Linked DNA regions of Diceros bicornis minor. The protein of the gene in region 3 interacts with the protein of the main gene of each other region in a biochemical or structural test. Links are inferred from orthologs where the notes say so. Each region holds a gene or a part of one and is shown on either strand. Other genes may lie near its edges. The genes, in order: RBX1, ZNRF1, UBE2N and RNF135.

Region 1 (7,798 bases), about 19 Mb from region 3:
TTTGATACTGCTCCAGCAGGAGAGGGTGAAGGTAGAAGTCCAGGTTCCCCACTGGGTCCCCACTAACACCCAAGAGTGGGGATGCTCCGTGTTACTGCTGGGCAGGGGTGGGAGTTCTAGCTTCCCGCATGGTCTCTACTGACACTGTAGTGGGGATGGCCTCATTCTTGATGGATAATGATTGGTGAAAGCCTTGACTTTCCACTAGGTCTCCTCCAATACCATCCCAGCAGGGAGGGGAAGGGGTGCCTCATTACTGCTCGGTGGGAGTGGAGGTCCAGACCTCCTCGTGGTCCTCTCTTACACCACAGGGGTAGAGCAGCACCTTATCAGCCAGAAGGGGTAAAAGTTCCAACTCCCTAATTAGCCTGCACACCCTGGCGCAGGTGTCGGGGCACTTGGTTACAGACTTGCGAGCTGTACAAAACAGACTCCCCAACAGCTTTGCTGACATGGGTGGGAGTGGGCCACATTTTCTTCTGTATTGTTTGGATGGAGTAGGGCAGTTATTGTCTACAAGTTTTCCATTTGCTAGAGAAAGCAGCCTTTTGTTGGGTCTTTTTTTTTTTTTTTTTTTTGGTCTGCACTTATTGGCATTTCTGGGTTGCCACCTTCTTCAGCTCCAAGTCTGGGATGTATGAAGTAAAAAGAAAACACAGAGAACTCACTACCATGTCATTCCTCAAGTCCTGAGATCCCTAACTGGTCTGCCTTCTTCTCTCCACCTTTCAGAGTCTTCTTTTTTTTTTTTCAATATACCCTGTCTAGGGATTTCAGTCATCCTCAGAGGGAATAATAGGGAAAAGTATGTCTACTCCATCTTCCCAGAAGTGGAAGTCTTGCCTAGAACTTTTTAAAAGACATATCTGACCATGTGACTCACTGGTTAGAATCCTTCAATGGCTTCCCATCACTAAGGATAAAGACCCAAACCCTTTGCATGGCTCTACTGAACAGTCTTGCAAGACCTGGCCCCTACCAGTGGTAAATGTTTAACAACCAACTCTAGGGGTAGGAGGAGCCCTGATCTGTAGTGTTTGCTAATCTCCATGGTGTAAATACTACTATTATGGCCAATTTGAAGCTACCAACATGATGTCGCTAAATACAGAATTGGGAGGAGATGCTAACAATTGACTCTTGCACATCATTGCAGACTCATTTATACCACTCTCTCTCTCTTTATACTCCAGCCATTCCAGGCTTCTTTACGAGTGCACTATGCATTCTCCAGCTTCCAGCCTTTTCCGCACTCTGTTGGCTCTACCTGGAATGCCTTCTTTTTCCACATCCCTCATTGTGTGCAAGTGCTTGATTTGTAGCTTTAACAGCCAGGTTGCATCAGCTTACAAGAGCAATTGTTAAACTTTCAGGAATTTTGCAATCTGGCTATTAAAGCTACAAATCAAGACTTTATTTTTAGAGGTGGTTTTTAAACATTTACCAGCATACCACTGCATCCATTCGTCTGGTTCATCCTTCAATCTCAAACCAGTTCCTCTAAGAGGACTTCCTCCCGCTCCCCAGACTTGCTTTCTGCTTCTAAGCACCCTGTACTTCCCCTTTCCTAAAATTCACTGGGATTATCATTAATTGACTATTGCCTCTCTCCTACTACCCCATAAGTTCAGTGATGAAAGAGACCTTTTGGAAGTACTTAAAATATCAATTGCCTTTTTTTTCTAGACCAGCATGGTGTAGTTGACACAGCAGGTTCTGTAGATATTTTAGAAATATTTGTTGAATGAATGGATCAATAAATGAAAGGAACAGAACTAAAGTAAAATTACCACCTATTGCATTGTAAATGGAATGAAATTATGCAGGATAGGAATCAGTATGGAGTCCACAAAAAGTTTTCTTAGGTTTAGCAGCAGAACCTAGCATACAGAATTCCATGGCCAATTGCCACAGTAAGGCAAATCTCCAAAAGAGAGATAAGCACATGAGGTTTTCAAGGCTTAATGGAACCGCCCCTACGATCTCCCCTCTGTAGCTCGGTGCAAAGGAAACAACTCGCAAATTTTGCTGCTTCATGTATCCCTACAATCCCTTCTTCACAAAGCTTAAAAATTTTTATAAACTTAGATTATGTCACTGTTAGTCCCTTCCCCTACTTTCTCTCTCCAATGCCTTCTCACAACATCTGCAATAAAATCCCTACCTGATCTGGCCCCTGCCTACCTGTCTGACATCTCTTACCACAAATCCCTTGCTCAACAAGCTTCCGATTTATTCATTCAACACATACCGAGCACCTACAATGTACCAGGCACTGTTCCAGTTTTTGTTACCAGTAAACAAAACAATCAAAAATCTCCTCTCTTGGTGAGCACACAGAAAAAACAATAACTCTAATAAATGAAAAAATGTGTTAGAAGGTACCTGTACCATTAAAAAAAGAAGAGGGGCCAGCCCTGTGGCATAGTGGTTAAGTTTGGCATGCTCCGCTTTGGTGGCACAGGTTTGCAGATTCAGTTCCCAGGCAAGGACCTACACCACTTGTCAGCCATACTGTGGCAGATACCCACATAAAAATAGAGGAAGATTGGCACAGATGTTAGCTCAGGGCTTATCTTCCTTCAGCCAAAAAACAGAAGAAGAAGATAAGCACAGAACAATGAATGTAGCAGATCACGCAGGGCTTTTAGGCCCTCATAAGGACTTCAGCTGAACTGTCACTCCTCATAGAGGCCTTACCTAATCACCCAATTGAATGTTGCTTCCATCTCCCCTCAATCTCATGACCTTGTTTTGTCTTCTTCATAGCACTTGATATCCGAGATTTTCTGATGTATTTATTGACTCCGGTATTATTTCCCTACTAGGAGTTTGACTCCTTCATCACTGTGTCTCTCCTATTTATAACAGGACCTGGTACACTGAATGAATAAATATGCCCTCAGTACCTTAATTTACTATGGGTTTCTAGTATTCCTGGAGGAACACAATAAATTAGATGACAGAAATCTTAACATGGAATCATTAATTTAACAAAACTTGGGCTAAGAAAAACTTTGTAGGGTTTCTATAATGCTTGAAGGTCTCACACAATTTTTCTCTTTCCGAGTCCAGTTAAAGCTGTGGTGGTGGTTTCACGGATCTGTTGTTCTTGTTTATGACTAAGATGAGGAAAGAAATGGAAGTTCTTCCAGTTTACCAATGAAGTCACACTCCATTACTCTCGAATTCTAAGAGAAAATGTGAGATTTTTAGGTAAGAGTGATCTAGCTGACTCATATCTCTGCAAGGTGAGAGACGCAAAAGGGGGGCCTGGTCTAGAAATGGGAGTGAGGTAAAGTATAGGTGCTTTGCCTGCGAAGGAATGACCAGTAAGACTAAATGGCAGAATGCCTCACACAAATTCAAGAAGTACAGCGACTGTAGATGTGACTTCAGCACAAGGAGCAGGAAGACGACCGAAATTAGGAAGAAAGGACCCCACAGTTAGATGACCAACTGAGGAACGAGGAACGTGTGCTCAACGGGGAATGTGCGGGAAGTTGAAATCCTGTACCTTAACCAAAGCCCATTCTAGGACGGATTGGTATTTCGCGAGACCTAGAGACGGCATCTCCCAGGCTCCTAAGCATCCTCCACCTACTTCAGGTGGGCAGGTGAAGGCAGGGCTGGAGAATATCTGCTCAGCTTGGCCCTGGGGAGGACATTCGGGGAGTTCCCGTCTCCCCGTCGGATCCTGAGCATTCCCCGAATTGGAATCAGGAAACCAAACGGTGCCCGGGCCCCGGCCTCAAGCCTCCCAGGGAGGCTGCACCTCGGACCTGGCTCGGAAGAGGGTCAGGAACTGCGAAAGGCCACTGTCGGGTCTCGGGTTTCGGCCGCAGGAGGCGGGCGTCCACCCTCGCCCCTTCCGCGGCGGAAGCCCCGCTGGCACGGGAGAGCGCGGCAGCCGGGAAGGCGAGGCGGGGCCGGGGCGGCAGGTCTCGGCCGAGGCGGAGGAAGCAGCCGCCGCCCCAGCTGAGAGAGTGTGGCCGGGGGCTTCCCCGGGGAGGGCGACGAGAGCGAGTCCTTTCGAACGTTTCCACTTGGCTCGCTCACGTCGCCTCGGCCCCGCCCGGCCCCGCCCCGCCCCAGCCGCCGCCGCCGCCTCCGCAGCCGACGGGGGCGGGGGGACCTGCGCCAGCGCCTTTAAGAGGCGTGGCCACACGCTCCGCCCCACCTGCCCCTCGCGCGCCTGTAAGGGGTGAGGTGCGGGAGGAGGCGCCGGGGCGGGAGGGGGAGCGAGGCGTGCGCTGGTGCGCAGGCGCAGTGGCCGGACGACAGACCGTGTGTTTCCAAAATGGCGGCAGCGATGGATGTGGATACCCCGAGCGGCACCAACAGCGGCGCGGGCAAGAAGCGCTTTGAAGTGAAAAAGGTTGGGTCTCGCCAGCGCCTTCCTCAGGGGACCTAGAGAGGCGCGGATCTGGCTGGCAGGCCCTAGGATGACCGAGGCGCAGAGGAAAGGGCTTCATTTCAGGGCGTTCCTGAGACCGGGTACCACGAAAGGAAGCCGGGGGGCGGGTCTTAGCGTTGATCGGCGTGACTGGGGCCCACTGTCATTGGCAGCATTGGTTTCGTTCGGAGGCTGAGGGGCCAATCACGGACGTGCTTATTGAGATACGCGGGGTTGCGGCTTGGCTGCGGGAGCCAAGCGCCTGAGCTGTCACTGGAGTGCTGGAAGGGTGGGGAAGGAGAGGGTGGGGTGGGTGGAAGGGGGAGTCGGAGCGGTGCGGTGGGTGGAGGATGGGGCAGTGCGGCGAAAGCCGGGAACCTGAGGTCCTACCGCATTGGAGGTCTCGGAGGAGCCGGGCTGGCGACCTCCTTGCCCCGCCCCTCTCCGAAGCTTGGGGTCCCTCTTGACTCTGAGGGACCCCGACCCGGTCCTCACCTAATCGAGGCCTCCATTAGCCACCTCCCTGGCCTTCATCCCCGCCGAGTTAGTGTCTCGAGTGTAACTCTTGGCTCTTCTGAGAGGTCTGTTGGTTTGCCACACAGCCGCCCCAATCCTGTGGTCATATCCAGAATCTCCCTATCCAAAAAAAAAAAACCATGGTGGAATTTGTTAAAAAGAAAATGCGAGCCCAAATCTTGTGTCATTTAAGGAGGGTTGTGTACTAGTTTTGAACGACCTGGTGGAAGTGGGAAAGCAGAAATGTGGAACGTGTCTTTTTGCATGAAACGCCTTATGGTGGTTTGCCAACACTTTGGGAGAAAAGTGCCGATTCCTACCTAAGATAAAGTGAATCTGTTCAAAATGAAGACTCTGAAATAGGGACGATGTTATTCCTGGAACATCTGGATGAATACTGACAATATTCCCCCTCCTAGTGCTTTTTGGCTTTTCATTGTGGGCACTGCATGCTCAGTTACAGCCAGCAGCCATATTGAAGAATAAAAGAAGTAGGATTTTTTTCCTCGAAGTTGAAGCTGTCGGGTGAAACGTGCTGAAGAAGTTACTAGACATTGAGAATTGGGATTGAAAGAGATGAAGGTTTGGGAGGTGGCATCAAATTAGTGGATGGAAAAGAAGTTTGGGAACATTTATAATTGCAGAAGCCAGAAGGTTGAATTACTTAAATACCACTTTTTAGATAAACTCCTAATGGAATTATTTGAACTAAATATAAGAGTCTGAGCATGTAAAAGTTGAGAACAGTAGTTTATTTGATGGTAGGAACTAAACAAAATTCTAGTGAATTCTAGAGTTTGTTGAGAAGTAATCTTTTAAGATTGAAGCCATGACCTTGTTCTCTGCACTGACAATGGGTAATTCGTTATCCAGCTTATCCCACGATTACCCATTTTATGATCCAATCATCATCTTAGTTCGTTCTGTTCCTAGCTTTCACCTCCCCACTCATGCTTCCAAAGCTGCCTTGAAGAACAGATATTTATTTATGCAGAAATTGAGCTCTTCTGCAGCTGCCTGGGGAACCTGCACAGTAATTCAAGTTTGTGCTTATTAAACCTAAAACAGGCACTTACAAATTATGCTTACGTTGATATGGCTGACTAAATTATTTTAAGCTGTAGGAAAAAATAAAATTAAAAGATGACTCATTAATTTCTGTGTTTATATACTCAACTGTTTGGAGAATAAATGAGCATATGTGTAGCCTACTTTTGCCCTCGGATATAATAAATAAGAGTAATGTAGTATCCCCAGGCTCTTTTGTTTGGTGGTCCTTGTGGCCAAAGAGATGATAATTGCAGCTGCAGCATGAAATCCTAGAGTGTGAGTGTGTGTGTGTGTTACAAGGAGAGTAGAGTGCATTGTTCCCCCTTTTTCTCTTTGCAGTGGAATGCAGTAGCCCTCTGGGCCTGGGATATTGTGGTTGATAACTGTGCCATCTGCAGGAACCACATTATGGATCTTTGTAAGTAATTGGAGGAGGATGGGAGGAAGTTGAGAAGGTTACAGAGATTGTGGCTATCCTGATGTGACCAATTTTCTTCTTCACAAGGGCTCTTCTGCATGTAGTCCATTGGTATGTTTGAAATAGAGTAGTTTTTATGATGTCCTGGAGGCATACCCATCTCTCAAATCTACTCCATCTAAAGATGGCAAGGCCACATTTAGAGTGAATTATGGACACAGAGGCACTGTTGGTTATTCCTCTGTATTTCCCATCTTATACCCAGACTCAAAGGCAGAAATAGAGAAAGAAAGAAAATAAACTTTGAGCTAAAATATTCTATCTAGAGCTAGTTTTTGCTGGGTAAGATTTATAAAGAAAAGCCTAAGAAGGAAGGATTTTCAGTGTTAGCCCCAGACAGAGTTAAGAGGACATCACTGCCAACATCTAAATAGGCAATTAACTGCACTAAAGAAGTTTCATGTAAATCTCCACATATTCCATTACACATAGCAGGTTTGATGATAGCTGTTGATGGACTGACTGAGTATCCTTGTAGTAATAGGGGCAAGAATGTTGATCACACCAGGAACAGTTGAGGTTACTTTTTCATCCAGGTACTAAAATGGTTTGTTATTGAGATCAGAAATGGGGCAAAGAAATTTCAACTTTCTAGAATGAAATGATAGGCACTTAGTTCCTAAATCACTTGCCTCCCTCTCCAGCTTCATCTTGAGCCACTCTCCTGCTCACTCTGGTAGTTTCTCTGGCTTTCTTTCCATTCCCCAAGTGTGCATGCTCTTCTTTAGAGCCTTTACATATCCTATTCCCTCTGCCTGGAATATTCTCTGCCTCTTTTCCCCATTACCTTTGTCTAACCCAACACTGTCCAATCTAAATGTGAGCCACACATGCAAGCACATACATAATCTAAAATTTTCTCATACCCACATTAATAAAGTGAAAAGAAACAGATGAGGGGCCAGCCCCATGGCTTAGTGGTTAAGTGCAGGCGCTCCGCTACTGGTGGCCTGGGTTTGAATCCCGGGCGTGCACCGACGCACTGCTTCTCCGGCCATGCTGAGGCCGCGTCCCACATACAGCAACTAGAAGGATGTGCAGCTATGACATACAACTATCTACTGGGGCTTTGGGGAAAAAGAGGAGGAGGATTGGCAATAGATGTTAGCTCAGAGCCGGTCTTCCTCAGCAAAAAAGAGAAGGATTAGCAGGGATGTTAGCTCAGGGCTGATCTTCCTCACAGAAAAATAAGAGATGATTTGTATTTTATTTATCCTGCTGTATCCAAAGTATTTTCACTTCAACATGTCATTAATATTTTAAAGTGAAATATTTTACTTTCTTTTGTTCCCCTACTGTCTTTGAAGTGGTTTTTGCACTTATAGCACATCTCAATTCAGACTAGCCGCATTTCAAGT
Region 2 (7,505 bases), on a different chromosome or scaffold from region 3:
AAAAAAAACAGTCCCAAATCTAGCTGGGGCCATTTCTGCATCTATATCCCTGCATTGAGAGTGTCCAAAATGACTTGACATCTCCTCAGATCCATTAACTTTAAACCAAGAACCCACAGGAGAAACTTGAAGGAAAACATACTGGACTCCTGATACAACAAATGACAAAATGAAACTGATCTGAGGCTGCAGGTCTCCGCGGATGCCTGTTGCTAGCCATGAGTCACCCTCTCTAAGATGTCAAGTGTAGAATCAAGCTACTGAATGAAGAACTTTCCTCGTTCTGTATTTTAATATTTTCATTTCAGAGGCAAAATTGTCGTTTGAATAAAAGCACAAGGAGATAACAAGGGCATCGCCTGAGAAAGGCTGCCATGCAGGGTCCCACAGGGCATCTAAGCTTAGTGTCATGACATTGCAGAGAATAGAGGCTTCACCTTCGCAGTTCAGGCCCTCAGCTATTCAGTGGTGCCCAATGTGAGAGAGACCGGCTTATGATAACCAGTAGTCTGGAATATAAACTTTAAGGGCAAATTATTAATAAACAAAAAGGAATATAGCTGTTAAGCAGATCTAATCTTTTTCACCCCATTGGAAAGCATACAGAGAAAATGAAATTGTCATCCAAAGATTCCTTGATGAGCACCTTCACTGTAAAGCTTAGAAGTCCAGCTCTGCTCCTACTAGCTGTGTGACTTTTTACTGTGCATGTGGGATATACTTTATATTTACCTCTACCTCTCTATCAGTTGGTCTCTATAAATTTACATGGCTCAAACACTAAAATACAAAAAGATATATAACGAAATGAAATATTTCTCATCCATCCCGTCACCGAACTCTCCAGTTCCTACTGCCCACCCCCCAGGGGACAACATTATGTCATTTCATGTTTCCATCCAGTATCTTTATGAATATATACACTAAGAAAAATACAGGGGTCGGCCCGGTGGCATAGTGGTGAAGTTTGTGCGCTCCGCTTTGGCGGCCTGCGCTTCGCAGGTTCGGATCCCAGGCCAGACCTACACACTGCTTATCAAGCCATGCTGAGGCGGCGTCCCACATATAAAGTAGAGAAAGATGGGTAGGGATGTTAGCCCGGGGCCCATCTTCCTCAGCAAGAAGAGGAGGATTGGCAACGTATGTTAGCTCAGGGCTAATCTTCCTCACCAAAAAAAAGAAAAGAAGAGAAAAGAACAGAAAAATATAGACACGGTCCATGCTCCCTACCATGGCTGACAGGACCCTCTTGTCTGTCCCTGAGGACCAGCTTCATCTTTGGCTCCTCTCATTGCAGCTTTACTGCATCTTTCAGTCCTTTGAAGATGCCATGTTCTCTGGGCCTTTGAACATGCTGTTCCCTTTGCTTGGAACATTCTTCTCTTCCTGAAACACAGTTCTCCCCCCACCCCATTCCCTGGCTAATCTCCCACCCACCTTTTAGGTCTTGGCTTAGAATCACTGTGTTTGTGCCTGTCTCCTTCCCTCAGCACCATGCTCTTTCACTCTCATAGGACTTAGTTATTCATTCATTCATTTGAAAAATATTTATTGAGTGCCAACTACATGCCAGGCACTGTTCTAGACTTATCTATCACACTGTATTGTCACTGCCTGCTTCAATACTTCATATATATAGAGTCACATACCAAAAAATTGCACTGTATTACACTGTAATTCCCATACCATAAAATTCACGCTTTTAAGTGTATAATTCAGTGGTTTTTAGTATATTCACAAGGTCGTGCAACCATCACTATTACCTAATTCCAGAACATTTTCATCACTCCAAAAAGAAACCAGTTAACAGTCATTCTCTATTTTCCCCTTCCTCCAGGCCCTGGCAACCATTAATTTTTCCGACTCAATGGATTTGCCTATTCTGGACATTTCACATAAGTGGAATCATACAATATGTGGTCTTTTGTGATTGGCTTCTTAGTATAATGTTTTCAAGGATCATCCATGTTATGGTACATAACAGCACTTTATTTCTTTTTATGGCTGAGCAATAGTCCATTGTATGGATATACCACATTTGCTTTATCTTTTCATCAGTTGATGGATACTTGGGTTGTTTCCACTTTTTAGCTATTTTGAATAATGCTGCTATGAACATTCATGTACAAGGTTTTCTGCAGACATATGTTTTCATTTCTTTTGGAAATATACCTAGAAGTGGAATTGCTGGGTCATATAACTCTATATTTAATCTCTTTGAGGAACTGCCAGACTGTTTTCTAAAGTAGCTGTACCATTCTACACTCCCACCAGCAAGGTATGAGGGTTCCAATTTTTGCACATCTCACCAACACTTGTTATTGTTCTTTTTGATTAGAGCCATCTTAGTGGGTGTGAAGTGCTTCTTTTGAATTTCCATGAGAACAAGGACTCCATCTGTCTTGCTCACCACTCTATCCCAGAACCTAGTGCATAAGTGCCTGACACTTATGAGACATTCATATTTTGTTCAACACACTAAAAAAGTGTTGAATGAATAGGTAAATCAAAAGCTAGATAGACGGTTACAATACTATTGTGTATTTATCTCCCCCATAGAGCTCTGTCGAGGGATCTAGCATTCTTTTTTCTGCACAGTACTGAACCACCCCTCTTCTATTACCATGGTCTCTCTTCAGGGAGGAAATTGGGTTAAATGTAAGCTTTCTTGTTTTTCTTCAGATCACTCATTTAGATCTCAGGTGTGCACAAATTCTTCATTTAGGCACTTAAAGATAGTTTCTTGGGTATTGGAACATTTTGTTTTTTCCTACCTGCATTTCTCATACTGAACTCTTGACTTCCTTCTGCAGGGCCTTTAGTTCACTCCCAAGCACCCCATGCTTGCAAATAGCCTTCCTCCTGTTTCTTTCCAAGCGGGTCACACTGGGACAATCAATACCTGTGACAGACCAGCCCTCCTGTTTTTTGGTTTTCTCTTAATATTCTTTTACACCCTGTTTTGGCTCCTTGATTTGGAAGTATCTGGGGACATTTAGAGCAAGGAAGTCAGGCCAGGGACTAGGTGATGCTCATATCGAGCCCTCAGCACTTGAAAAATAGTTGTTGAATGAATGAATGTGAATTTGTGAGAGAGACATATTGCAAAATGCAGACTTGGTCAACAAATATTTATTAAGTACCCACTATGTCCCAGGCCCTGTGGTACATGCCCGAATAAAAGGTAAACAAAACAGGGGACTCGCCTTGGACTTAGGGAGTTCCTAAAATCACTAGTTCTAGCTACATTATTCCATTTTCACATCTCTATCTTTTCACTCTTTATCGTACACCTAATGACTTCAAGGATCACATTTTAGCTAAGGAATCTACCCGTTTACTTAACCCCAAAATAGGAAGTTCTGAATTACTGTCAGCAAAATTCGCAGTCGCAAGTGCCCCAGGGCGCTGTTTACCCGCAAACAGCCAAAAATCTCCCAAATGCTAAGCTTCCTGATCTTCGGGATCCCTGGATGGGGAACCTCCCAAAGAACGGACCGCACGTCCACCAGAGGGTGCTGTGGGGGTAAATTTGTGCCGGGAGGGGAGCTTGACCAGTGACCCACAGAGCCAGGTAGGCGTCTTGAGTAATTTTCATTCTTCCTACGGTTTCCTTCCCACCCCCTTGAACCATCGCCACCCCTCCCCCATAGGTGGTTCCCCCTGAATAATTAGCCACTTTCGGGGACTTAACGAGTGCTTGCTTTGAAAAGACGCCTTGTTCCGTTCCCGACACCCCGTGGCTCCAGTCACTCAGGTCACTGGTCGGTCGGGACCGGGTGGGTGGGGACCTCCGGGGCGTCAGGGGCCGGGCACCGCAGGGGCCGCGAAGGGTTAACCCGGCGGGGGGGGAGGGGGAGGGGGAAGGGGCGCGGGCCGCGCCTGCGCTCTGCCGCCCTCCATTGTCTCCACGGCGGCGAGGAGCGCCGGCGAGCACAGCCCGGGACCTAGCGGGGCGGCGCGGCTGGCGGGGTCGGCGGTGGCTGGAGCGAGAGGGCGACGGGACGCGACCGCGGCTTCCCGAGCTCCGCCTGGCCGCCCAGCGCCGCAGCCCGCCCGAAGCCTGGAGGGGTCCGGTCCGCCGTCCATGGTCGCGGCGTCCTGAGGCGGGGGACGCGCCCGGCGCCCCCAGCCGTCCTCCGCCTCCTCCTGTCGGGCGGGCGGCCTCCTCTGGCGCCTCCCTGCGCCCGCCCGCCCGCTCGCCCGCCGCCTCCCTCCCTCCTTCCCTGCGGCTCCCCCGGCTTTCGGGAGCCCGGGGGCGGCCTGTGGCGCGCCGAGCCCGCGCCGGACTGCGCCTCTTTGGACCTTGAGGCGAAACATGCGTTTGGCTTGGATCGTTTTAAATTCTTAGTTTGGGATCCCCGCCCGCCTGCCTCTTCCGCTCCGCGGGTTTTCTTTTCTTTTTTCTTTTTGTTTTTTTTTCCCTTTTTTCCTCCCAGTCTCCTTTTTGACTCCCTCCCCCTTTATGCTCGCCCAACCCTCCCCTCGCTACTGAGAAGTGGGGGAGGGTCTCCGCCTCCAGGTTCCCGCCCCACCGGGGCCCGGCCGAGCATGGGGGGCAAGCAGAGCACGGCGGCCCGCTCCCGGGGCCCCTTCCCGGGGGTCTCCACCGATGACAGCGCCGTGCCCCCGCCGGGAGGGGCTCCCCACTTTGGGCACTACCGGGCGGGCGGCGGGGCCATGGGGCTGCGCAGCCGCTCGGTCAGCTCAGTGGCAGGCATGGGCATGGACCCCAGCACGGCCGGGGGGGTGCCCTTTGGCCTCTACACCCCCGCCTCCCGGGGGACCGGCGACTCGGAGAGGGCGCCCGGCGGCGGAGGGTCCGCGTCCGACTCCACCTATGCCCATGGCAATGGTTACCAGGAGACGGGCGGCGGTCACCATAGAGACGGGATGCTGTACCTGGGCTCCCGAGCCTCGCTGGCGGATGCTCTACCTCTGCACATCGCACCCAGGTGGTTCAGCTCGCACAGTGGTGAGTCCGCGGATCGTGGAGGCCTCGGAGGGTGGAGTGCAAGGGAGGGCGCGCCGGGGCTCCCCAAACCTTCGCGCGCGTGCGAAGGTTTGGATGTGGAGTGCACGACCTGGATCTGTCTGTCTTCCCCTTGGTTCCGAAAGCCAAGGGATGAATGGGATACCTATCCTCTAGAAAAGAGGCATGGCATTCTGCGAGGCTGCGGAGCCGGGCATTTTAGGACTTCAAGCGTTGGTTCACTTGTGGATGGGCAGAGTGAAACCTGCCTATTGAAATCCCATTTATTGGCATCAGCATCCTCAAAGAGGTCTTGTCTGGTTTACAGCAAGTCGGCCTCAGTGCTTCCATTCTGTCACTGCAGCATTGTGCCTACCTCGCCGTTAACGGAGAGAGAGGGATCCCATCTGACCAAGCCGGTCTCCCAAATAAAGAGTGTGAAAAGAAATAAAATTGGGGGCATGTGGTGTTCGGATTAGGGCTCTCACTCTTGCTGGGAGAGGGGGATGCCCAATTTTGCCACCCTGCTGGAGATCTGTTTGAATTGTTTAAAATGGAGCAGGCTGCTGGCATAGACAGGTGTGGCGTGCTGAATGGAGGGCCCAGCCAGGGAGCCTCCCCTGGAGGCTTTGCAGGACCAGGGCTCTGGTCGCCCGTGCTGCATGCGGTAGGCTTGGCTCCATGACTGTCACATCCCTCCATCTTTTTTCTTCCTTTCCTTGCTAAGTGCTTGGTCTTCCTGTAATCTGCATCTTTTTGTAATGGAGAGGTGGGATTTTATTGCCTGGCTGTTGGCACAAGATAGGGGAAGAAGGGAAGAAGAGGATTCAGAGAATCTGGATGAATTCATTTTGTGAACTTCTGGTGACAGGCCAGTGAAAAGCTGGAGGAGGATTTCCCAGGCTCTGACTGGCAGGGTGGAAAAGGCACTGGCAAGAGCTGCTGGACGAAAACAGGTTTGTCTGCTCAGCTAACGTGCAGCTTAGGCTTCTAGAAAACTGGTCAAAAGGAGTGTGGGGCCGCTATTTGCTAATTGGCAAGTTGGAGTGAAGAAGTTAATGTATTCAGACTCCTTTGGGAAAGTCGAGAAAATTTAGATATTGTGTAGAAGAAAGATTGCTTTATGGAAGATTTATCTATCGGATCACTGTTCTAGCTATTGTGAAGTAGAGTAGACTTCTTGGATCTCTTTTTTATCTGGAAAGAGTCTGCATTTTTTTTCAAACTTTTGTCAAACTATAAACTTTAATTTGTGGAATATTTTTGGGGGAAAATAGTGACTAATTTAGGGTAACACTTGAAAGTAGCTTTTGAATAGCTAGGATGGTATTTTAAGCCCTGAACAGACCTCTGGATATCGTTGGAGCTTCTCTGACCTGAAGTAGATGCAAGGCATGACTGCCTTTGGCACTTTTAGGCATTTGATCAGCTTTAGACATCTTGAAATTAATGATCTTTCTGATAAAATATGATCCAGAAAGAGTCAGTTGTATTTGTGAGATGACTGTGGTTAAGTTTTTAAAAGAACTGTCATTAGTATCTGATTTTAAACCAAAAAGCACTATAAGAAGCTTCTCTAAAACCATAGAATTTTGTGTGCTGCAAAACAAATGTAATCTTATAGATGCTTGTCTGGGGAAGGAGTTCCCTTTTTGCTGAAATTTCTTGTCTGTCTCTTACCAGAAACTTCATTTTCCTTATTTCACCACCAGGTTCCATGCTGGAGTTATGAGCTTACAACTGGATTCCCAAATTTCAGACTCTTCAGCTGTGAAACCCATGGGAATACAGGAAAGGGCGTGGGGGCTGGTGTTACTATTGGGGGAATACATTCTTTATAGGGCCATCCTGTCCTTTTGCAAGACATTGAGTGTACCTGGCCCTGCCCACTAAATGCCCCCACAAATTTCCAAATGCTCTTGTCAGGGGTGGGGATACCACCCTGATTGAGAATCTCTGCTTTAGGGATTTGTTGTTTTATTCAACTAAAGTTATTTTTTCTGGTGCAGTTCATTTGAGATGAGCCTTCATTATTTCCACTCTTCTATCTCACCTTCTGGAACAGGCCATGGGATCTCCCTTCCAGGACACCCCTTTCCTCTCTTGTTCATTGCTGTAAGAAGAGAAGCTTGTTTCCACTTTGAAGCCTCTGAGTAAGACCCGAGCAGTTTTTGTTCTTGTGTCCTAAGAGTAGAAGGGTAAGGATTTCGGTGCACAATTGACTAGATGCCTGGAAGTTGATGTGGTGCTGTTGCTTGTGTTTTCAGGGTGCTTTTGGAACTCTTCCTGGGCACAGAAAACAGTTGTCGGTGAAATAGATGGGGGAGTTCAGTGTGTGCGAGGCTTCCTCAGAGGGAGTGAACTGATGTTGTGTCAGGAGGTAGAATACTGGGGTCCCAGCTCTTTCTCTGAGGAGCTGTGACCTTGGGCAAGACACATCACCTCTCTTGAGCCTCATCTTTGTTATTTTTAAAATAGACATGGTAATCCTTGCAGCCAGCCTGTAAAGGTTGTTCCCTAAATCCTGTGAGGA
Region 3 (7,783 bases):
GAAAGGCAACCTGTATTTTAGGACAGTTAGGTGAATCTCTGAGGACACAACATGTGAGCCAAGAACTGACCAATACGACAAAGCAAGCAACGCAATAAACAGGAGGAAAGCCCCATGACTGGAACAAGCTTAGCCTTCCACTGTTCAGGGTACAGCAAAGCAACAGTGTGGCTGCAGTGCAGCAACCCAAGCACAGAAGTGCAGGAGATGATGGTAGAGGTCAGCAGATCCCGGATAGATGTAAGCCTTTGTAGCTAAGGGGAAAAGGCCAAGATTTTATTCTAAGTGTTCTGAAAACCTTTGTAGAGTTCAGAGCAGGGGAGTAACATGATCTATATTTTAAAAAGTAACACTAGCTGCTGCTTAAAAGGAGACTAATACAGTAGGCCAGGCAACAAATGATGGAACTCAACAGTGGTTTCAGAGAGAGAGGGAAATGTGTCAGATTCAGCATATACTTCGAAAGTAGAGCCTAGAGAATTTGCTACTGGACTGGAAATAAAAATCTGAGTGGGACAGCAACGGGGTGAATTCAAAAAAATCACCTTATATTTGAATAGTCATTTACAATTGTCAAGGTACTTTTACATACATTATGTCATTTCATAATAACAAGAGGCAGGAGAAGGTCACTCTGAGTTAACATCCAAGTTCTGCCTCTTGCCAGCTTCAAGACCCTAGGAAAGTTGTTTGAATGTGTTTCCAGACTGTAAATGTATTGTCTACTTCACAAGATTACTGCAGGTATCAAGTGGCTCAAGAACTCTGCAAATGTAAATAGTAACCATTTTGAGGTGGCCAGCATCATGTTAATAGTTGTCCATTGATGGTATGGTGTATTCCTATCATTCTGGACAGTAGAGCTACCATACCACCACCACCACAACTATATTCCACATAGGACCCTGTAATAGTGGTTGACAGAGAAGACCCAACCTTTTTTTAAAAATTCTGACACAAAAAATAAACATTTTCACTGATTATGGAAAAACCTACATAATATAACAGGGGCACTAGAAAAAACAGTATAATCTTTTAATCCTTCCTAGGGATTGGAGAAAACAGTTCTATAAATGGTATTACAGTAAAACCACCTAACTTTTACAAGATAAAACCCAAATCAAGGCATCTTTCATTAGAGAGATGCTATCAACAAAATACTGTAAAATTAAGATTATATATGAGTTATCACTGTCTTGGTTTAAATAGTAAGATGCAAATGCCTAGTGTAAACTAAACTATTGTGTGCCAAATGAACTGAATTATAAGAACAACTTATTGCCTTAATTTCTGTAAGTTTATAAAAACAAGATCCCACAGAATTTATTTTTCTATTCAAGGCTTTCATATTACTGCAGAATATCTCCAAAATCAAGCAAAAATGGAAAAATTCATCTTAAATCTTTAGTTCATTATGTATTTTGGAGAATTATCTTGAATGTCAATTTGTGTTATGTACTTAGTCAATCACCTGACTAGAAGTCAATAAAAATTAAGAGAATATCTGGCATACAGCTCTATCCTCCACCCCTCAGTTTCAACTGGGGCCTCGATAAACATGACCATTAGGGCCACGTAACTGCATTATAACTAAAACCACATTTTAAGGATCTTCCAATGCATACAGCAATTAAACTGCCTTGGCCAGAGTCCGAGATAAATCCACTAATATAACAAATTTGGCACTATGAAGAACCACATTAGACTCCAGCACCCAATGACAATCTGTTCTACTTCTCTAATTTCTAAGAATATCCATCTTACAAATGGTCTTATTTCTCTAAATCAAGCACCTTAAGGCAGAGACACCTCCATCTCACACATATTTACCTACAACTGCACGAAACAATACACAATACATCAGCCTTCAACAGGTTTTCACTGAGTATGCACCTCCCCCCAAACTTTAGAAGAACAAACTAGATTAAATATACGCTCAACACATTATATCCAGCAAAATGATGCTGCAATTTAGTCACTTGAACTCGCATATTGAGGGACACAGAGTTCAACTGATTTCCTTCACTAAAATTGACAAAAAACTTCAAAGCTTTGTTTTTGAGTATTGCAAGAAACATTTCACATCGGAGGACTCGATATTATGTAAAGAATTCACAAAATAAAGATGTCACATTTTTCATGATTCTATATGTAATGGTTAAAGCGCACAAAATCGAGAGGCAAAAGATTTCACAGGGTCTCCCATACCTGCGCCCTCACCCCCACCCCCGGTCTTGTGTTAAACTATTTGCTCTGAACAGGAGCTCTGAACCAGTCTACCAACCAGAGTAAAATCACTTCGCGGAGATAACGAGCGGAAACGTATCTAAGGAAACGAGCTCGCGGAAGCGAGGGCAGCGGGGCGCGGAGCCCCCACATCCCCGGACCCGCATGTGTCGACGGCGGCAGGACGCGCGGCCCTCCCGGAGCCGCCTCCCGGGGCACAGGGCCCCGCCCGGCCTCACTCGCCCGGTTCATTCATTCTGAACGCGGGGCTGCCGCATCCCCGCGCTCCCGCTCGGGCCGAGAGGGGGCTCCGGGGCCGAGGGGCCGTGCCGGGCCACAACCCCCACCCCGAGTCGGGGCCCCGCCACGATTCCCGCGCGCCCGCGGCCTCCGCCCGGGGGTGGTCTGAGAGGCCGCCGAGGCCCGCGCCGGCCCGCGCCCAAGACCGGAGCCCCGCAACCCCGGCCCCACCCTCCGCCAGAGCGCAGGCCAGGCCTTCCCTGCTCGCGGGGCAGCCGCCTGGAAGCCCCGGGTCCCCGCCGCCGGGCTGCCCCACCGCGGCCGGAAGTCTCCCCGGCGCCCCCTCCCCAGCGCCCGACTTCCCTCGCCGCCGCGGCCAGACCCTCTCCGCGCTGCCTCGGGCCTCCCAGCGCGGGCCGCGGGCCGCAGGCAGCGAGGGGCTGCGCCGCCCGGTCTGCCGAGAGCGCACGAGCAGAGCGGGCAGCCGGAGGCCGGCCTGGGCGGTTACCTTGATGATCCTGCGGGGCAGCCCGGCCATCTTGTCAGATCCCGAGTTCGGCCTCTGGTCTTGTCTCCGCTCCGCTCGCCTCACGCACGAGTGGAAGTCCCGGGCTCCACTTCCGGGGGACGTTGCCGCGCCCGCCGCCGCCGCCGCCGCCGCCCAGGCCCCTCGGGAAATGTAGTCCCGGCTCGGGCGGGCTTCCCTCGGACCTGGCCCCCTCCCCCGCGCTCCCCGCCCCAGCCCCGGCCCGAGGGGGCGGAAGTGACGCGCCGCGGCGGGGCAGGGACTTGGGGGAGGTGGCGCGGGGCTCCGCCGGTCTTGGCCGAGCGGGCCGCGCGATGGTGGGACTGGGCTGCCGGCGCCCCTCAGACTTCTTATCCACGGCCACGCCCGCGCCGGTGGGCGACGTAACAGAGGCCCGGCCGCCGACGTAGCCCATTCCTTCGTTAGTGCGATCGTTCATTCATTCAACGTTCCTGCATTGCGCGCGGTCGGAGCTGGTGCTGCAGGGAACGACTGCGGTCAAGTTGATCCGCTGGCTCCTGACTCAAAGAGAGGAGAAGACCGAAACTCGGTAGCAAAGCTCCTGTGGGTCTCGAAAGTTAGCCAGGGAAAACCCTAGCCAGAGAGTTTTGATCTTCAAATTTCGGAAAAATCAAGCCTCTGACACACCCCTTAGGCCCGGGAAAGGCTAAAAGAAAAGAGCTTGGAGAGTTGGGGGCGGGGAAGAAGAATGGCTTCTGGACTCAGTGGTTGAAACGGCAGAGTCCTTAGCTGGAGGAATGACCAAGGAGAGGATTGGAGAGCCCAGAGTAATCCGGGAAAGAGGGATAACCCACAGAGCGCGGGGCCCTAAAGGAAGATTAGAGTGGGGATGCCCGAAAATAGGATTTGGGGAAGCATTTCGTGACATCCTGGTGATTGATTGCTTGCTGTGTGATGGGCTCACTGCAGTTACTATTTTACTTCATCTTCACAGCAATCTTAAGAAGGTGTTGCCTCCGCCTTTACAAATGAGGCTCAGAGACGCTAACTTGTTTCAAGGTTATGCAGGAGGTGGAGCTGTTTTGTCCTCGGGCAGGTCTCCCAAAACATGGACCCCTTAACTACTTAAGCACAGTGTTTCCAAACACAGTAGCACAGACAGTAGATGGTGAATGAAGATGTGCCAGATGCTGTATTAGGGGATGAGAATACAAAGAGGCTGACCCTGCTTTCCAGGAACTCAGAGTCCAGTGGAGAAGAGAGACAAGTAAACAATTACAACCCAATGTGTTAAGGGCTATAATAGAGGCTCCTCCAAGGTGCTATTTGAGCACAGGGAGGCATTAATTGCTTGAGAAGTCAGAGAAGGCTTCCCAAAGAAGTTGAGGCCTAAAACATGGGTAAGAGTCTAAGTGACCTGGTAGGGAAGAGCACGCCAGGCATAGAAAATAGCCTGTGAAATGTCATTAAGCTATAAGAAAAAAAAAAAAAGAGCATTAAAGAAATGGAGAATATGAATGCAAGAAACTTAATAAGAATAATAAAAGATAACGTGCTGGGCACCGTGCTAAATGGTGACATGGATTATCTCATTTAATTATAAAGCATATAAGGTAGGCTTTCTTATTACCAGTGTTTTTTAGATGTGAAACACAGCCTCAGAGGTAATAATGGGAACTTGAAATAACCAGAAGTCCTAAATGAGTGGTTCTGTGATTAAAAGAATCCGAGAAAGTAAATGACATTGGACAAGGATACTTTCAGAATATTTTAGAGAAGACCCAGGAGAATTCACCTTATTAGGAAGAAAGGCAGAGTGAATATTGAATTAGAAGGGGACTATGCCAGTTGTCTATTGCCTAACAAACCAGCTCAAACTTAGTGCTTAAAAGGACAGCAATCATTTATTTAGTTCTTGAATCTGCAGTCTGGGCAGGGCTTGGCAGAGAAGGCACATCACTGCTCCATGCTGCGGCAGCCTGGGCAGCTTGACCGGGACCAGATCCATTTGTGAGATGACTCACATAGCTGGCAAGTTGGTGCTGGCTGTTAGTCCCCCTCAAGGTGGGCCTCTCCCTGGGACAGCTTGGGCTTCCTCACTGTATGGTGGCTGGGTTTCAAGAGTGAGTGTTCTAGCAAGTGCAAGTGGCAGCTGAATCCACTTTTTTGCCCCAGCCTTGGAAGTCACATAGGATTACTCCCGCCATAATGTATTGGTCAACTAGTCACAAAAGCCCACCCAAGATATGGACTCTACCTCTTGAAAGAGGAGTGACAAGATTCTAGAAAGTAGCAGAGTATGTGTGGTAGAAGCTGTGGGTGTGACCAACTTTGGAAAACACAAAGTGCCACAGGTATGACGTTTGTCACAATATGCTTAGGAACCACCTGCCTTGGCATCACCGGCAGTGCTGGCTGAAATAAGCATTCCTGGAGCCCTTCCCCCAGAGATTCTAAGTCTCCAGGTCAATGCTGAGGTCTGGGACTCTGCATTTAAACATCATGGGTAATTTTGATAGATCCTAAAATTTGAGAACAAAAGATTTTGAATAAACAAGAACAAAAATGTATAAACAAAAAACGTCACGTGCCCTCTTTTGGCTATTCTGTATCAGAATGGATGGTGAGTATCATGCAGATTACGAGTGAGGGCCCTGGAGTCCCACCTAGATTTGAAAACTTGCAGTTTGCTTAACTTGTTTGTCCTTCATTTTCTTCACCTATAAAATGAACCTACTTCATGTGATTGTTGGGAAGTTTCAATGATACATTTATATATAAAGTACTTAGAACACTATGTACCACTTAGCAAGGGCTATTATTTTTGAACCAGGTATAGTTTTCCTAGGAAACCAGATTTTTAAAACTTGACAGTAAAACCTTGTTTGGCAGAGATTTTTTTTTTATCAGACTTTTTTTGTTTATTGCAGTAACATTGGTTTATAACATTGTATAAATTTCAGGTGTACATCATTATACTTCTATTTCTGCATAGATTACATCATGTTCACCACCCAAATACTAATTACAACCCATCACCACACACATGTGCCTAATTATCCCTTTCGCCCTCCTCCCTTCCCCCTTCCCCTCTGGTAACCACCAACCCAATCGACAGAGATTGTTTTGATGGCATGAAATTCTCTTAGAGTATTAACCCTTAAAATATATTTTTTCATGTCTCTTCTAGTTGTTTTTCCTGTTCTTGTCCCCCTTGAGAACAGCTCACACTATACTCATCTGGAAAATAAAATCTAAACTTCTGATTCATCTAAGTCCTGCAGAACAGGAAATATTCTAGAAGGACAGGTTGCCACAGGGCTGACATGAGGTTTATTCTCAAGTTAGAAAACTGGTTAAGAATCCTACTTACCATATCTATAAAATATGGATAAAATAAGGATATCTACAAAACTAATTGAATCGATTCCTTCAGGGGAGGGGTCTTGGGCAGCTGGAGAACAGAGGTAAAAGGAGGACTTTTTCTTCTACTCTTGTATCTTACAGATTTTTGAACTACTTGAATGTGTTACCTATTAAAAACATAAAACAAGAAGCCAATTCACTAATTTCAACAGTCTAATCTAAGGGGTATTCAAAGCTCTTTAAACACTGATCAGGCATGATATTATAAACTCAAACCTCAGCAAAAAGATGCTGGTCTATGGCATTGAATAAATGGTTACAGTGACCAGATAGATTCACTAAGCTGAACAGTGCTAGGCAGAACTCTTAGCTAATTACGCTTTTTTGGCTCTATGTCAGGTCTTGCTCTCTTCCATGTTTTTTTCCAGTCTCTCCTTCTGGGACTCAAACCACGAGTGCCTTTGCATTATGATATAGGGAAAGAGCAAGCAATAATGCTGTGTTGGAGGAATTAGAGGAATCCTGTTCTATGCAAATCTCTTACTCCCCAGAAAACTATTTCACTGCCTCCTGTTCCTTCCACACACCCCACCCCCAAACATTCTAGGTTTGCTAATTTGGTCCTATAATGGGAGATGCCTAAGTACTATTTACCTTGCAGGTAATATCGGAGGACATTTATACCTGAGCTCCTCAGAGTGAGGGATCTCCTCCATCTTGGTCAATACTGTATCCTTGTGGCCTAATACAGGGTCTGCTACATGAGAGGTCTCAAAAAATATTTGTGAGAGGAGTGAATCGATGACCGCAGGCTGCAAAAAAACTCCTGTTTGAGAATGGCTGACATAGATTCATGATCCATAAGTGAATGCTTACAGAAAGCATAGGATGTTTATGTTCATCCCTAAACTCTTCAACTTGACTTCCTGGAGGGCAACAGAGCTTTTCTACAAACTGTCTCATGTTTGCAGAGACAAAATAGAATAGATCAGTTTGGAAAATGGTAGGTCAGTCACCTTTAATAGAGGCCCTGTTTCAAGTCATAAGCAATACTCATTTTTCTGCAATACCCTTATGGTTTCTTGCACGTAGAAACACTCTTCCGTGGGTGGTCAGGACAGAAGTATCTGTGAGAAGAGGGTTCATGAACACTGACTCAGGGAGGAAGTGGGTGGGGGAGGAAGAAAAGGCTGCACACTGATTTAAAAAAAGAAAGAAAAAAACGCCTGCTGCCTCATGTTCATGACTTCCATGTAAATGGCTGAGCATTTATAAACTGTTAACCAACACAAGGCCAGCCTGTAAGGAGGCTCTGAGTGGGGTCTTCCAGGGTCATAGGAGCTCTATCTCCAGGAGGAAGGCCTTGGGAAAGATGAAACCCAGGAGAATTAGAGCAATAGGCTTCCTTTTGTTTAGTGCTTCATGCTTTACAAAGCATTCTTGAATGTCATCTCACCCACGGAG
Region 4 (7,466 bases), on a different chromosome or scaffold from region 3:
TTAGGTTACAGGAAACCACGAAGAGAGGAATAAGGAGATGGCTGACATATTGTCAAAACCAGTTAAAACCAGGTGAAGGCAACATGGTAGCCTGACTTGACCTGACATAGACCCCACAGCTCATTACAGGCTCATTGTAATACATTACCGTGCTACATAACACCCCCCCCAGCGCCATGACAGTCCACAATTGCCACAGCAACCGCAGCATATGACTAAATAAGGAAAGAAAAGAGGTGGCACCCTTGTTCCCCCGAAAAGCCTGCCCTGTTCCCTGAATATGATGAATACTCCCCCCCTTCATTATCTCGACCCCTTATAACCGCTGCTGCTTACTCGCCCCAAGAGCTGAGAAGTTGAGTTGTGAACTTAGTTCCCACTTCTCTATTCTTTGGCCATCAAATAAAAGCTTGTGCCGTTGACTGTTCAGCTTTGGTTTTGTTTCAAATCTGCGACCCTGAACAGAAAAGAACCCTCCAAGGAGGGGACGGATTGTGGGTACGAGGCCCACACCTGTGGGTCCCTCCGCGGAGCTCCTCTGAAGTGGGTTGGAGTCCCACCAGAGTGAGGTCAATTTGGTAACACAAAGACAATCATTTTAATTTAAAAGGCTTTGGAAAGTATATTCAGTCACTACAGTATAATCTATATTAACAAAACATTTTAAGGACCTGAGCGATAATGCTGTATTTATAATCAAAAAGAAGAGAACATGCTTTATTCATAACGGCAAAAAAATGGAAGCAATCAATATGTCCATCACCAGGTGAATGGATAAACTGTGGTATAACTATGCAATGGAATATTATTCAGCAATAAAAAAAGAAATGAGCTATCAAGTCACAAACCCTAATTTTGCTTACTGAAAGGAGCCAGTCTGGAAAGGCTAGATATTGTATGATTCCAACTATATGACATTCCGGAAAAGGCAAAACTATAGAGATAGTATAAAGATGAGTGGTTGCCAGGGGTTGGGATGGGGTACAAACAGGTGGAGAACAGGGGATTTTCAGGACAGTATAACTGAATGACACTGTAATTGTAGACACATGACCTCATGCATTCGTCAAAACCCACAGAACTGTACAACACAAAGAGTGAACCCTAATGTAAACTATGGATTTTAGTTAATAATAATGTATAAATATTGGTTTATCAATTGTAACAAATGTACCACACTAATGCAAAATGTTAATAATAGGGGAAACTGTGAGGGATATATGGGGACTTTCTGTCCTATCTGCTCAGCATTCTGTAAACTTACAACTGCTCTAAAAAATAAAGTCTATTAACTAATTAAAAAAAAAAACACGACATAAACTACCTACACAAGGTGACCTCAACTCTTCAAAAAGACCGCAGAGAACAGCAAAAGGGTAGAGCGGGAAGCTCCCCTACCCTACCCCTAGCCCCCCATAATAAAACATCGCAAAACAAGCAGAAACTGACAGAACAAACTTTGTCAGGACTCTGGAAAACACCAAATCAAAAAAGAGCAACCTGGCAGTAGGAAAGCTTTGTGGTGTTTTTACCTGCCCCCGCCCCACTCCCTCCCTGGCTAAGTAACAGTCTTGAAGATTCCCAGCGTGGAACCCTGGTCCTGGTTGCAGAAGGAGCAGAGCCCCACATTCACAAATTGTTGTGTATGTCTGTTCTAACCTGGCTGGGGCTGCCTGAAGGAATGACACAGGGTGCTCATCTTTTTCTACCTAACTCAGAGCTCGGGCCAGAAAGGTGGTGGGCATTGCTCGGAACGCTGCAACTGAATTAAACTTGCCTATGTCTAGAGCTAAAGATTATGGTGGAAATGTACGATAGGGCACGTAGGTTCCAGGAGCAAAAGCTGGGGAAAATTGAAACCCTCCTACTTTGTTGATGGGAATGTAAAATGGTGTAGCTGCTGTGGAATACAGTTTGGCTGTTCCTCAATAAGTTAAATAGAGAATTACCTTAGGACCCAGCAATTCCACTCTTAGGTATTGTCAAAATAATTGAAAATAGGGACTCAGATACTTGTAACCAATGTTCACTGCAACATTACTCACAATAACCAAAAGGTGGAAACAATTAAAATATCCACCAAGGTATGAATTTTTAAAAAAAGTGGTATATACATACAAGGGAATATTATTCAGCCGCAAAAAGGAATGAAGTTCGGATACATGCTACAACACAAATGAACCTTGTAAACATCATGGCAAGTGAAAGAAGCCAGACCCAAAGGGATAAATATTGCATGATTCCACTTATATGAAATATCTAGGCAAATTCATAGAGACAGAAACTCAATTAGAGGGACTGGAGGGAGGAGGAATGAGAAGTTATTGCTTAATGGGTACAGAGTTTCTGTTTGTAGTGATGAAAAAGTTTTGGAAATAGATAGTGGTGATGGGTGCACAACACTGTGAATACAACTAACGCTACTGAATTGCACACTTAAAAATCGTTAGAATAGCAAATTGCACCACAATAAAAAAATTTTCATAGAGACAGACTTCGTAAAGACTGGAAAGAAATGGAAATACGCCAAGGTGTACAGCGGCTAGGTTGATAGGATTTTAGGAGATTTGGATTTTTTTTTTTCCTGCTGCTTCATACTTTTCTGAACTTTCCAAAGAGCGCGTTCTACTTTTAGACGGGGAAAAAGTAACGTAAGAGTAGAAAAGGAAAGGGAAAGGAGGAAGAGCGATGGGGCAACAGGGTGCAGGCGGCGCGGGCAGCTTGGAGGAGAGAGGGGAGCTGCGGGTCCCGCCTCCCTACCGGCAGCGGCGCGGCGGGGCGCGGGGGCCCCGGCGCTGGGCCGGGGGCCGGGGCGGGAGCTGGGCCGGGGGCCGGGCCGGGGCCGGCCTCCAGCTCGCGCGCGGCCTGGCTGTACTTGTCGGCCAGGTCCTGCAGCAGCGTGTTCTTCCGCAGCTGCAGCTGCTGCGCGCCGCCCTCGCGGCAGGTGGGGCAGGACCAGCGGCGCCCCGCGGCCCCTGCGCCCCACAGGTCCTTCAGGCAGCTGCGGCAGAAGGTGTGGCCGCAGGGCAGCGTGACGGGCCAAGCGAGCAGCCCATGACAGATGATGCAGCCCAGGTCGTCCTCGGCTAGCCACACGGGGATGGCCCGGCCGGTGTCCAGGCCCGCCATGGTGACCAGTCCGCCGCCGGGGCGCGGAAGTCGCGGCCACGCCAGGCACCGCCCGTCCGCCCGCCCGCTGCTACGTCTCCTCTGGCTCCTCCCTCGCTCTTCCTCTCCGCCCGCTCCTTCGCTGTCTCCTCCCCTCTTCACTTCGGTCCGCCGTTGTTCCGTTTCTGCAGTCTTGCTGAAAGCTGACTTAGAGCCTCCACCGCCCAGCCCGCGGCGCCCTGGGGGCAGAGCTGGCTGCTAGTCACAGCCTCCTCTGCTGGGAAATCAGCTCGCCCCAAGCGCTAGGAACCTGATGATGTCCCAAAGATCCCTTGGTTTAACGCCCCCCGCCCCATTAAAATACAACCCCGACAACTCTTGGAAGAAGAAAAAAGAGGATTCAAGAACTCTTTTATGAGAATGCGTCCACTAGGTGTCATCCAGCCCCTCCAACTAGCAAGGGATTAAAGAATTTCGAGGGCCGGCCCCGTGGCTTAGCGGTTAAGCGCGCGTGCTCCGCTACTAGCGGCCCGGGTTCGGATCCCGATCCTGGGCGCCCACGGACGCAACGCTTCTCCGGCCATGCTGAGGCCGCGTCCCACATACAGCAACTAGAAGGATGTGCAACTATGACATGCAACTATCTGCTGGGGCTTTGGGGGATAAAAGGAGGAGGATTGGCAATAGATGTTAGCTCAGACCGCGTCTTCCTCAGCAAAAAAAAAAAAAGAGAGAGAGGAGGATTAGCATGGATGTTAGCTCAGGGCTGATCTTCCTCACACACACAAAAAAAGAATTTGGAGCGCACATAACTGGAAGCTGGTTAAAAACACCGATGTTGGGGCTCCACTCCTGGAGAGTCTGATTTTCTGGGGTAGAGCACGGCACAGGTATTTTAAAAAATCTCCCCCGGATGATTCTAACCCGCAGCCAAAGTTGAGTGACCCCTAGACTTTTACAATCCGTGTTACAGTGCAGAATTGTGCCTCTGTCTCCTTACTGCTCCCTGCTGACTGAAAGCACATTACCCAACAAGCATCGGAACAAAAATGCTAGAAAGTCTGTTTTCTTGAGGTAGCACTCCTGGCCCTGGTTGGACTTGTTCTCTTCCTCCTCTCCTCTTATTCCAGTCCTAAGCGTATTACAACCAGAAAACATATGAACTAGAACAGCATCAAATCCTCCCCAAAGACCCAAAGAGACAAACTTCCAGGCTTACATAGCAATAACTGAGTGGCAGAGACCAGAACCTGTCTCTCTCTGGTCTGTTGAATTGAACTAACAATGTCTTATATTTTATTTTACTCCATCTTGCCTGGGCTCAAAGTAGGTACCAGATAATACAAATTTGTGGCTATTTCCACTACTGGAAATGACAGGTAGTAGTCATTAGTGCTGCTCATCCAAGTTTCCAGCTCTTTTCCTTTCTAGGCACCTGGTAGGACTGGCACTTCTCTGACCAACTTGAAACACACAGAAGTAATAGTTGTTAACTTCCCACCAGCTTAAAAAGCTGGTAAGTCATTGTACCCCTTTCTGCTAGCTGCCGTGACTATAGAGATGAAGCCATCAACTGGTGGCCTGGGTCTCTGTGTCGCTAAGATGAGCAGACCTCCTGCCGACCCATACTAGGACATGTAGCAAAGGAGAAAAATAAACTTGAGATATGTTAAGTTTACTGAGACTTAGTGGGTGCTTGTAGCTACAGCATAACCCAGCATATTCTTTTTTTTTTTTGTGAGGAAGATCAGCCCTGAGCTAACATCCATGCTAATCCTCCTCTTTTTTTGCTGAGGAAGACGGGCTCTGAGCTAACATCTATTGCCAATCCTCCTCCTCTTTTTCCCCAAGGCCCCAGTAGACAGTTGTATGTCACAGTTGCACATCCTTCTAGTTGCTGTATGTGGGACGCGGCCTCAGCATGGCGGGAGAAGCGGTGCGTGGGTGCGCGCCCGGGACCGAACCTGGCTGCCAGCAGCGGAGAGCGCGCACTTAACCGCTACGCCACGGGCCAGCCCCCTAGCGTATTCTGACTGATATCTTACCTGGATTTTGTTCCAGAGTCTCCTCATTTGGAGTAAACTCATAGCTTCTCTGGACCTCTCTTCTGAAAAATAGGCATGATATCAAATGCACATGCTCAAATCTTCCATCTTAAAAAATAAAGTCTCCTTTGATATAGGCCTCCCTCTAGCTATCTCTCCTTCTGTCTTCCACTGCACACCCAAGTTTCTTGGAAGAGTAGATTAACCAGTGGTCTTCAAACTTTTTTTTCTTGGACAGCTCCTAAAAGTTTTATTCAAAAACATGCAGTGATTACAAGAAAGGGGGGAGGGATGGCAGTAGTCAGCCCTAGCTGTAAAAATTTGTGAACAAGTTCTTCATTTACATTGGAAATTTTATCATTCTTTCATCTTCTTAAACTTGTATTTCCATTCTACTTTCTCCACAAAACTATAATCTAAGATAATATATTTTATGCATGACAGTCTTTTATCACTTTGTAATCACCAGATTAAGATGTTAAGATACAGTGCTCTCACTGTGATGGCCTGGGTTCATTCGCCAGTCAGGGAACCAGGCCACCCATCTGTCAATTTTCATACTGTGGTGGCTGCATGTTGCTGTGATGCTGAAACCTATGCCACCAGTATTTCAAATACCAGCAGGGTCACCCATGGTGGACAGGTTTCAGCAGCTGAGACAGACTAGGAAGAAGGAATTGGCTACCCACTTCCAAAAAAATTGGCCATGAAAACCCTATAAATAGCAGCAGAACTTTGGCTGATAGAGTGCCGGAAGGTGAGAAAATGGCGGGCAGGAGAAAGTGAGAAAAAGACTGGACAGGGTTCCACTTTGCTGTACACAGGGTTGCTGGAGTTGAAATTGACTTGATGGCACTAACAACAACAAAATCACTTTTATCACTTTGTAATAATTTCCTGCAACAACAAAAAATATATATATATTGAATTTTTAAATCTTTTTTACTTCCTATGACAAAAAGGCTCTTGTTAATTTTTTTATTCTGTATTGAATTATCATTATAATTATTATTAGCAGTCGATAAAAACAAAAATATATTGTAAATTTATGTAAATAATTGTTAATCAAAAAGTAAAAATTTTATTAGAATTGCAGCTCTTAATGAGATGGATGGGCTGGGTTTTTTAAAAAATGAATTTATCTGTGGATGAACATTACTTTTTTGCTTTTTTTTTTTTTTTTTGGTGAGGAATATTAGCCCTGAGCTAACATCTGATGCCAATCCTCCTCTTTTTTTCACTGAGGAAGATTGTTCCTGTGCTAATGTCCGTGCCCATCTTCCTCTACTTTATATGGGACACCGCCACAGCATGGCTTGACAAGCAGTGCATCGGTGCGCATCTGGAATCTGAACTTGCGAACCCCAGGCTGCCTAAGCGGAACTTGTGCTCCTAACTGCTACGCCACCAGGCCAGCCCCTCTGCTGGCTTTATTTAGACATAATTGACGTAAAATATTGTGTATGTTTAAGGTGTACAACGTGATGATTTGACACACCCATATATTGCAAAAATGATTACCACAGTAAGGTTAGTTAACACTTCCATCACCTCACATAATTCCATTTGTGTGTGTGTGTGGTAAGAACTAAGATATACTAAGATATCCTCTCTTAGCAACTGTCAAGCATACAATAAAGTACTGTTAACTATAGTCACCATGTTGTACATTAGATCCCCAGAACTTATTCATCTTATAACTGTAAGTTTGTACCCTTCAACCGACATGTCCCCATTTCCCCCACCCGGCAGCCCCTGGCAACCACCTTTCTACTCTCTGTTTCTGAGTAGGCTTTTTTAGATTCCGCATGTAAATGAGATCAGACTCAAAAGTCTTTCTCTGTCTGACTTATTTCACTTAGCATAATGCCCTCAAGGTCCGTCCATGTTGTCACAAAAGGCAGGATTTCCTTCCTTTTTATGGCTAAATAATATTCCATTTTATATACACCACATTTTCTCTATCCATTCATCTGTGGGTGGACACTTAGGTTGTTTCCATGTCTTGCCTATTGGGAACAATGCTGCAGTGAACATGGAGTAGAGATATCTCTTTGAGATAGTGATTTCAGAAATATACCCAGAGTGGGATTGCTGGATCATATGGTAGTTCTATTTTGTGTGTGTGTGTGTGTGTATGTGTGTGTGTGTGTGTGTGAGGAAGATTAGCACTGAGCTAACATCTGTTGCCAATCCTCCTCTTGTTTTGCTGAGGAAAATTCTCCCTTTTTATATGTGGGACGCCCACACAGCATGGCTTGATAAGTGGTGAGTAGGTCTGTGCCCAGGATCCGAACCCGTGAGCCCCGGACT

The links.
Region 1: the proteins of UBE2N (region 3) and RBX1 form a complex in vitro, tested with the Homo sapiens proteins (5 studies listed by BioGRID). The link is inferred for Diceros bicornis minor from reciprocal best matches to the Homo sapiens genes UBE2N and RBX1.
Region 2: the proteins of UBE2N (region 3) and ZNRF1 form a complex in vitro, tested with the Homo sapiens proteins (3 studies listed by BioGRID, with this or other methods). The link is inferred for Diceros bicornis minor from reciprocal best matches to the Homo sapiens genes UBE2N and ZNRF1.
Region 4: the proteins of UBE2N (region 3) and RNF135 form a complex in vitro, tested with the Homo sapiens proteins (4 studies listed by BioGRID). The link is inferred for Diceros bicornis minor from reciprocal best matches to the Homo sapiens genes UBE2N and RNF135.

What each region holds. Positions count from the first base shown.
Region 1 is NC_080764.1:9,389,391-9,397,188, reverse strand, and holds the start of RBX1 (E3 ubiquitin-protein ligase RBX1), read left to right. Parts: upstream 1-4,283; 5' UTR 4,284-4,300; coding exon 4,301-4,378; intron 4,379-6,301; coding exon 6,302-6,380; intron 6,381-7,798. UniProt on the Homo sapiens protein: E3 ubiquitin ligase component of multiple cullin-RING-based E3 ubiquitin-protein ligase (CRLs) complexes which mediate the ubiquitination and subsequent proteasomal degradation of target proteins, including proteins involved in cell cycle progression, signal transduction, transcription and transcription-coupled nucleotide excision repair.
Region 2 is NC_080771.1:25,547,229-25,554,733, forward strand, and holds the start of ZNRF1 (E3 ubiquitin-protein ligase ZNRF1), read left to right. Parts: upstream 1-4,150; 5' UTR 4,151-4,551; coding exon 4,552-4,975; intron 4,976-7,505. UniProt on the Homo sapiens protein: E3 ubiquitin-protein ligase that plays a role in different processes including cell differentiation, receptor recycling or regulation of inflammation. Mediates the ubiquitination of AKT1 and GLUL, thereby playing a role in neuron cells differentiation.
Region 3 is NC_080764.1:28,470,208-28,477,990, reverse strand, and holds the start of UBE2N (ubiquitin-conjugating enzyme E2 N), read right to left. Parts: upstream 3,408-7,783; 5' UTR 3,005-3,407; coding exon 2,975-3,004; intron 1-2,974. UniProt on the Homo sapiens protein: The UBE2V1-UBE2N and UBE2V2-UBE2N heterodimers catalyze the synthesis of non-canonical 'Lys-63'-linked polyubiquitin chains. This type of polyubiquitination does not lead to protein degradation by the proteasome.
Region 4 is NC_080757.1:21,203,249-21,210,714, reverse strand, and holds the start of RNF135 (E3 ubiquitin-protein ligase RNF135), read right to left. Parts: upstream 3,144-7,466; 5' UTR 3,130-3,143; coding exon 2,761-3,129; intron 1-2,760.